Arabidopsis thaliana: one gene and its partner. The main gene of each other region encodes a partner of the protein of the gene in region 2 in a complex. Each region holds a gene or a part of one and is shown on either strand. Other genes may lie near its edges.

Region 1 (3,756 bases), on a different chromosome or scaffold from region 2:
GCTATTAACTACGCAAATATGTTATCATCCCTGGGATGAGGCATCAACATGTTATAACTCTGGAAAAATAGAAGAGAAAAGAAACTTTAGGGGAAATACGTACTCCCCACTGTATTTCTTTTTGATTAATGTGATTAGCAGTGTCCTGAAAACTCCCGACAATGGTGACAGCTTCTATGTCATCGGATGAGGAAGTAGGCTGTCCCGAGTAGACTGCAACAAATTATCCATGACCAATTGATTCAATTTTCTACTCAAAAAACTGCTACAAGCTATCGCATATATAAGAGAAAGAAACACATTTACCTTGGAAATTGATGTGCTCGTTAATAATACCAAGCATTAAAGTCGATACTGTACTATGTAGATACTGAAGTAACAGCTCATATGAATACTGCAACATTCAGTAAGCATATTAGAGGTCTGCAGTCACGGAATTCAGTTAATCAGACCAGAAACCTCGAAGCAGTTGCCTATTACAGCTACTAGTCAATTTTCACTCAAGTCTACCTGACAAAACTTGATGTTAACCTTGCTTTTTCTAAGAGAACGAGCAAACTCCATCTCCTGATAAGAACCAAGATCATAAGAAAGATAATAACCAAAAAAAAAAAAAAAAAAATCCATTATCAATATTATATGACCATATAAGGTTTATCATAAACCTCTAGATGAGATGGAGAAAGCACGCCTTCAAGCTTCTGAAGATCCCGTAAGTGTACCATCTCATGATCTTTGCGGAAGCTGTTAAAGAAGGCTCTAGCTGGAATACAAGAGACGTATTATTTCCCACAGTAGCATAAGTCACTGTTTCCAAAAATCTTATACCGAAGGTAAAAAAAATACTCAGTACATCTAATTTGCTATATTGACAAGTACCTTCTTGAGTGTGCCCTTTCCCCACCAGATCCATGTAACAATGAATAAACACAGGATACATCACTCGAAGCAATTCATGCTACAAAATTAGAATCATCTCGTCAGTTCAATTAAGCCTGTCTCTACCCAAAACAGCCAAGGGATACACAAAAAAAAATCCCCACCTTATATAAATCCAGAGAATTATACGCCCATGACCTTAGTTTGCTGTAACCTTCACGGTACCGAGTTGGATCATCTTCTTGTCTGCAAACAAAAGAACAGACATTTCATTACCATTAGCTCTCTCTACATAAGCCATACAAAAAAACCTAATTTCTTGCCACTGAGATGTCATCAAAATCTTAAATTTGACAGATAAACTGATAGAAATATTCACATAAACTTCACCCAGAAAGTGAATTATATTCATTTTTAGATTCTCAAAAACGTTGGAGCTTACATAATTTTTCCTTACGGTTTTCAAAATTCACAAAAGACACTAAAACTTTCCCAAAAATTCAAAACACAATTCGCATTAAGAATTGAAACGAGAGAGAGAGATAGGGAGAGAGATTACTGAGAAAAGGAGCGAATGAGCTTCGTGAGCTCAGGATCGTTATGATAATCGACAGAAGTGAAGGAGCTACCATTATTGTTCTGGTGATGATAAGATTCAAGGTCTTTAGCAGCGCTACTGAATCCTTTCTTCTTCAAGTAGCCCACGACGAACTCGTTGATTTGCTCTGGATCCATTGTTGTCTCTCTCTCTCTCTCTCGATTCAATTTCCTCTCCTAGAAACTTGTATCTCGTCGCTGAAACATCTTCAGTTTTTTAGATTCCGTGTCTCTACAAAACTGGGCCTGTTTCAATGGCCTAATTGTGGCCCAAATATAATAATTTCAAAGTTATGATTAAAACCAGGCCCGTCTATGGGGGTGGCAGGTTGGGCAAATGCCCAGATTCAAAATTTACTAAGAGTTTTTGAATTATAAGCCCATGACCTTACTTTGATGTAAAATCTCATAACCATTTTCTTTTTAAATTACTTGCTTTGGATTCTCTATTTCAACTTAAAGATTGGGACAAGATACCAATATTTATTGTTTGAGTAATTAATTCTTACAGAATTATTGAAAATTATCCAAAAAAATGTTATCTTCTCAAAATTTCTAACTTTTATTTAAAAAAAAAAATAACTTTCCAAAACACCCAGTTTAAAAATATTTAAACAATAATTCTTAAATCAAATGTTACAATGGTTAAACTAAACACTTGCAACAATTTATTGTATATAAGACAAGGTCAGTTATTTCCTCCCACAATGGTTAACTCGTTTTCTAAAAATATATTATAAAATTTTGGATATCAAATAATCAAGAAAAATTCTTTCAAATGCCCTTTTCATGATGCCCCTTTTCAACTCTACCCTTTTGTTTTATCCATTTTTATTTATATTCTCTTTAAATTTTTAATTACCATTTTACCCTTATTTGGAAATTGTTTTAGGTTAACAAAATGAAATATTAATATTTTTTCGCCTAAAATATTCTAAAATAAATTTCCCGCCAAAATTTTCCCGCCAAACCTTTTCGAAAAAAATTCCCACCAAAAATTTTTGAAAAACATTTCCCGCCAAATTTTGTTTTCAAAAATATTTTTCCCGTCAATTTTTTTTTTTGGCGGGAAATAGATTTACAAGGAATTTTAAAAGAGTTTTAAAAGATTTACAAGGCAATTTAAAGGGGTTTTATAAGATTTACAAGGGATTTTAAAAGGGTAATTTACAAGGGATTTTAAAAGGTTTTTAAAAGATTTACAAGGGATTTTTAAAAGGGTTTTAAAAGATTTACAAGAGATTTTAAAGGGATTTAAAAGATTTACAAAGGTCTTTTAAAGATTTTTAAAGGGTTTAAAATTGTTTTAAAAGGATTTTAAAATATTTACAAGGGATTTTAAAAGGGTTTTACAATATTTACAAGGGATTTTAAAGGGTTTTAAAATATTTACATAGGATTTGTAAAGATTTTTAAAGGGTTTAAAAGTGTTTTGAAAGATTTACAAGGGATTTTAAAACCTTTTAAAATTACTTGTAAATCTTTTAAAACTCTTTTAAAATCTCTTGTAAATCTTTTAAAACTCTTTTAAAATCTCTTGTAAATTTTTTAAAACTTTTTAAAAATCTCTTGTAAATCTTTTAAAATCCTTTTAAAATCCCTTGTAAATCTATTTGGCGCTAAAAAATATTTACAAGGATTTTTAAAATATTTTTTTTGGCTGAGGAAAAATTTTTTACGAAAAAAAAATTTGGCGGGAAATTTTTTTGTTGGCGGGAATTTTTTTTTTTGGTTGGAAAAAAGTTTGGCGGAAACTTTTTTTTGGCGGGAAAAAAAATATTTTGGCGCCAAAAAATTGGCGGGAAAATTTCAGTTTCCAATTACATGTTTTTATTAGATGAGGGTAATTTGGTCATTTTGTTCAAGGGGAGAGATATTTTTAAAAATGGACAACATGAAAGGGTATTGTTGCAAAAGGGTAGTAAAAAAAGGCTAGTTTTGCAAATCTCCCAATAATCAATACATATAATTTTCAAGAACCAATCAAGTCCTTATATAGTGAAAAACTAGTATTTATTGTTGTTCTATAAAATAGTTTTCTATGTATGGTTTTTAAAATCAGTTGTTGTTTTTTACAGGGGAGTCAAATTCAATCAATCACAAAATTTTATTAATAAGATGTTTTATATCTTATCTCACTGTTACTATTTCAAGGATGTGTTTTGCACGGAACATCTTCATGATAAGCTTATTTTACAATAAATCATACTTTCTTTGTTTCTTAATATTTGTAGTTTAAGGTTTTTGCACATAAATTAAGAAAATATACAAATCTTATTT
Region 2 (3,756 bases):
AAGAAGGAAGGCGGAAGGGAAGGAGAAAGATAGTGGGTGCGTTATTGTGTCAAAACTTCTTTTATTCTTTTTATTTTTCCAATCCAGTCCTTTTATTTTCTGTAGACTTTCAATTCGCAACCCACTTTGTTTTCTTCTCTTCACGTAATAGTTCGTTTCGAGATCGGCCCATTATCAGGCCCACTAGATCCTCTTTCGCCGGAACTTGTGTGATTCAAAACGTCTCCGTACCAATTTTGACAGTAGACCGAATTCTGATCGCGACGGTTTTCAATCACGCCGAAGAAATACACAATTTGAATTTGAACTTATAAACCCAGTTCTTGTAATGTTCGACCAAAAACGAATCAATACTAAAACCAATTTTTAGGTATAGCCAAATTTAACCAAATAAACCGGATTACAAATGATTTTATTTGATTTCGAATTCTATAAAACCGGAAATGAAACCGAATCCAACCTAGTAAACCGGATTGCCACTTTTAGGCCATGTGGTCTGTAGTCAAAGATTGATCTTGTATTGAAAATGAAAACTGGAAACGTAAACCAAATAAAAACCAAACCGTAAGACTGATAGCCATTTCAGGGTCTGTATCCAAAGATTGATTTACTACAAAAGTTGTCACACAAAGTTAAGAACATCAAAGAACAATATGATCCACCAGGGAAGCCAAAGAAGTTCTCCTTTATGATGAGATTGATAGGCAAATCTCGCCAGCTTAAACCTGCCGTAGACCCTTATCCTTGAGCAGCATTGGTAAATTCCCCAGTCTTAGGCTGATATAAGTTCTCTTTTGGCTCTTGTTGACTAGCGGAAAAGGCGTGGAACTGATCTTTTAGGCACTTTTCCTTCGAGCTTTAGTCTCCGATAAGACTCCCTGATATGACAAGGTCTGATAGGTCCTGATTCTTTCCTTTCCGCCATAACAACTCGAGCTACAGATAATGTATTGAGGTTCAGTAAATGAGCTTTGTTGGCACATAAACAAAATCATTGGAAATTTTTGCACTGGCTTACCTGTTTCAACGAGTTCACCAACGAACATCTTTGCAATACCACACGCAACAATAATCATTGGCATACCAATCTTCTGACTACCAGTGACACCTATCAATAACTGCATTAACATAAAAGCTAAATGGTTCATATTTGCAATGAAACAAAATTAAGAATGTTGATAACCACAAATCATATAACATATATACCTTCTTCATCTGTGGTCTTTGAAGTGCAGATCTCCTAAAAGATTCATATCTACTCATCTGATCCTCAGTGAATTGCGATAATATGGTTCTGAAGAATTCAACAAACAATCAATCATCAAAGAAACATGAAGAACAATCAAAATTCTACAAAGACTCACTGCATTTTGGCCATTTTAGCAGGATCAGAACTAGTTGGATATTTAGTAAGCTCAACATCCATATTCTCTTCCTCTTCTTCATCATCTTCATCTTTATCTTTGTTCTTAGCTTCAGTAACAACAACAGAGGTTTTAGCTTTCTTCATCGGACGGCGAACATCCACAGGTCTCTCATCTTCATCTTGAGTCTGGTCGATTTCAATTCGTCCGTCTTCACTACCATCACCTCCTCCTCCTCCGCCAACGGGTGATTCCGGTGGCGATTCCTCTTGCTCTTCCTCAATCGCTGCTTCAAACGGATCCTTTGAATGCTTCATTCCTGATTAAAACCTAAACGAAAAAATCACATAATTGAGATCTCAAATTAGGGTTTAGAACGAAGCAAATTGCTACGGATCATTGACGAACCTTGAAGGTGAAACTCAGATCGAATTTCAAGAGACACGAATCTCTAGACCGTTGTTAACAACAACTGGGAGCTCCACAATCTTCCAGGCGGAGAGGAAAATTCATCGACTGTGTTCAATTTCAAGCTTTTCTATAGGAGTGTAGCGACTGTTATAAGTCGGTTTAGTCCAATCAATTGGTGGATCAAAAGAAAAGATCTGAACCGGTTTTTGTTAAACCAACCCAAAAAGTTTCGAGAACCACATCATTGGATTTGGGCTGGGCTCAGTTCAAAACCACTGAATAACTAACTGGTTTTTTTTTTTGGAATACAATGTTGGGATAACGATTTACAACTAGCCAAATGTTATAAATCGAGCTAGACAACAAAATTAAAAATATCAATGATAGTGAATTGGATACTAAAAAGTAAAAACACTCAAATGCTAACTATTTCTATAGATATTGGATAATCATATGTTAAATCAAATGCTTGAGTGATTTCAACATTTTTCTTTGGTCATCATGATTTTTATAATTCCAAATGAATCAAAGAACAGTTATCTATTTTTTCAAATCTTTCACATAATTCATAATTTTCTAGCAAATGTTATTTAGTTTTGCTTGATACTTTATGATAGGAAGATATAATGCTAACCCTTTTTTTCCTCCTCAATTTCAATATAAACTCATATCACCACCAAACCATCATTACAAATTCTAAAAACAAAACTCTATGAAACACATAAAACAGAAAAATATATATTTAGTCTCTTATATATATAACATCACTGCATTTAGAAAGTATTAGGCTGTTTAGCCTGAGAGATCATCTGGACAACCTCTCTCATGGTCGGTCTCTCAACACTATGTTCTTGCACACATAGCATTGCCACAAAGAACAGTTCCATGGCCTCTGCTAATGGAATATTGCTCAATCTCTGGTCAATGATCTTCACCACACCTTGTCTGTTACAGTTTGTTTGGATCTTTGACCATTGCACAATGTCTATCCCTTCTTCCCCAAAATTATCTACTGGTTTTCGACCCGTAATCAGCTCCAATAACACTACTCCGAAGCTGTACACATCGCTCTTCTCGTCTATTCTCAGTGTATATGCATATTCTGCATTCAAGAAACGGATAAAATGGGCTAAGATCAATCATACGTTTTAACTAGAAGTACTGAAATCCTAAGTTTGAATGTTACGTGTGATACAAGAAAGTAGTATTAGGAATCAGTCATGTACCTGGAGCGATGTAGCCGTACGAGCCAGCGATCGAGGACATGCACTCGGAAGCTCCATTGTCTTGCATCATAAACTTAGCAAGCCCAAAATCAGCAACATGAGCTTCAAACTCAGGACCCAACAAGATGTTGTTTGACTTCACATCACGGTGGATTATAAGTGGCGAGCAATCATGGTGAAGATAACACAACCCCTTAGCCGCTTCCAACGCTATTTGCAACCGTGTTTCCCATTTCAAAAACACTCCAGCTTTCCCGTGCAAGACTTCTCCGAGGCTACCATTAGGCATATACTCGTAAACAAGGAGATTCACGTCTTTGTTTGAACAAAAAGCGAGCAATCTCACTATGTTTCTGTGTCTGATTCTACCTAATGTCTGAATCTCTGCGGCTAAACCGTTGTCATGAGATGATCCTTTGGTTATGGTTAAGAGCTTCTTGACTGCAACTTCTTCTCCGTTTGGCATTACCCCTTTGTAGACAATCCCTCGTCCGCCTTTCCCAATCACATGGTTCTCTTTAACACATTCTAATATGTGTTCGCTTCTGAAACCGAGCTTCTGAAACCCTATAAGCTTCCATAAATTCGGGTTGTTCTTTCTCATTCTCCTATTCTTGACCACAGCTAAAACGACGAACACCAAGAAAAACCCTAGTAGGCCTAACCCGAAGAACAACTTGAATTTTGCGGAGATTTCACCTCGGGATCTTGCGTTGTTCTGGTTAAGTAGCTGAGATTGAGATTGGTTTTGGGAA

The links. The genes of interacting proteins can lie anywhere in the genome.
Region 1: TAF11 (region 2) and TAF5 share a complex: the UniProt entries of both Arabidopsis thaliana proteins name them as parts of the TFIID complex.

Annotation. Positions count from the first base shown.
Region 1 is NC_003076.8:8,674,975-8,678,730, reverse strand, and holds the start of TAF5 (TBP-associated factor 5), read right to left. Parts: upstream 1,683-3,756; 5' UTR 1,615-1,682; coding exon 1,439-1,614; intron 1,126-1,438; coding exon 1,044-1,125; intron 959-1,043; coding exon 880-958; intron 764-879; coding exon 666-763; intron 568-665; coding exon 511-567; intron 395-510; coding exon 307-394; intron 214-306; coding exon 104-213; intron 1-103. UniProt on the Arabidopsis thaliana protein: TAFs are components of the transcription factor IID (TFIID) complex that is essential for mediating regulation of RNA polymerase transcription.
Region 2 is NC_003075.7:10,951,717-10,955,472, reverse strand, and holds TAF11 (TBP-associated factor 11), read right to left. Parts: upstream 1,934-3,756; 5' UTR 1,773-1,933; intron 1,695-1,772; 5' UTR 1,682-1,694; coding exon 1,365-1,681; intron 1,295-1,364; coding exon 1,207-1,294; intron 1,119-1,206; coding exon 1,019-1,118; intron 937-1,018; coding exon 809-936; 3' UTR 397-808; downstream 1-396. Other genes in the region: AT4G20290 (uncharacterized protein), read left to right, coding at 1-314; BAM3 (Leucine-rich receptor-like protein kinase family protein), read right to left, coding at 2,549-2,877, 3,002-3,756. UniProt on the Arabidopsis thaliana protein: TAFs are components of the transcription factor IID (TFIID) complex that is essential for mediating regulation of RNA polymerase transcription.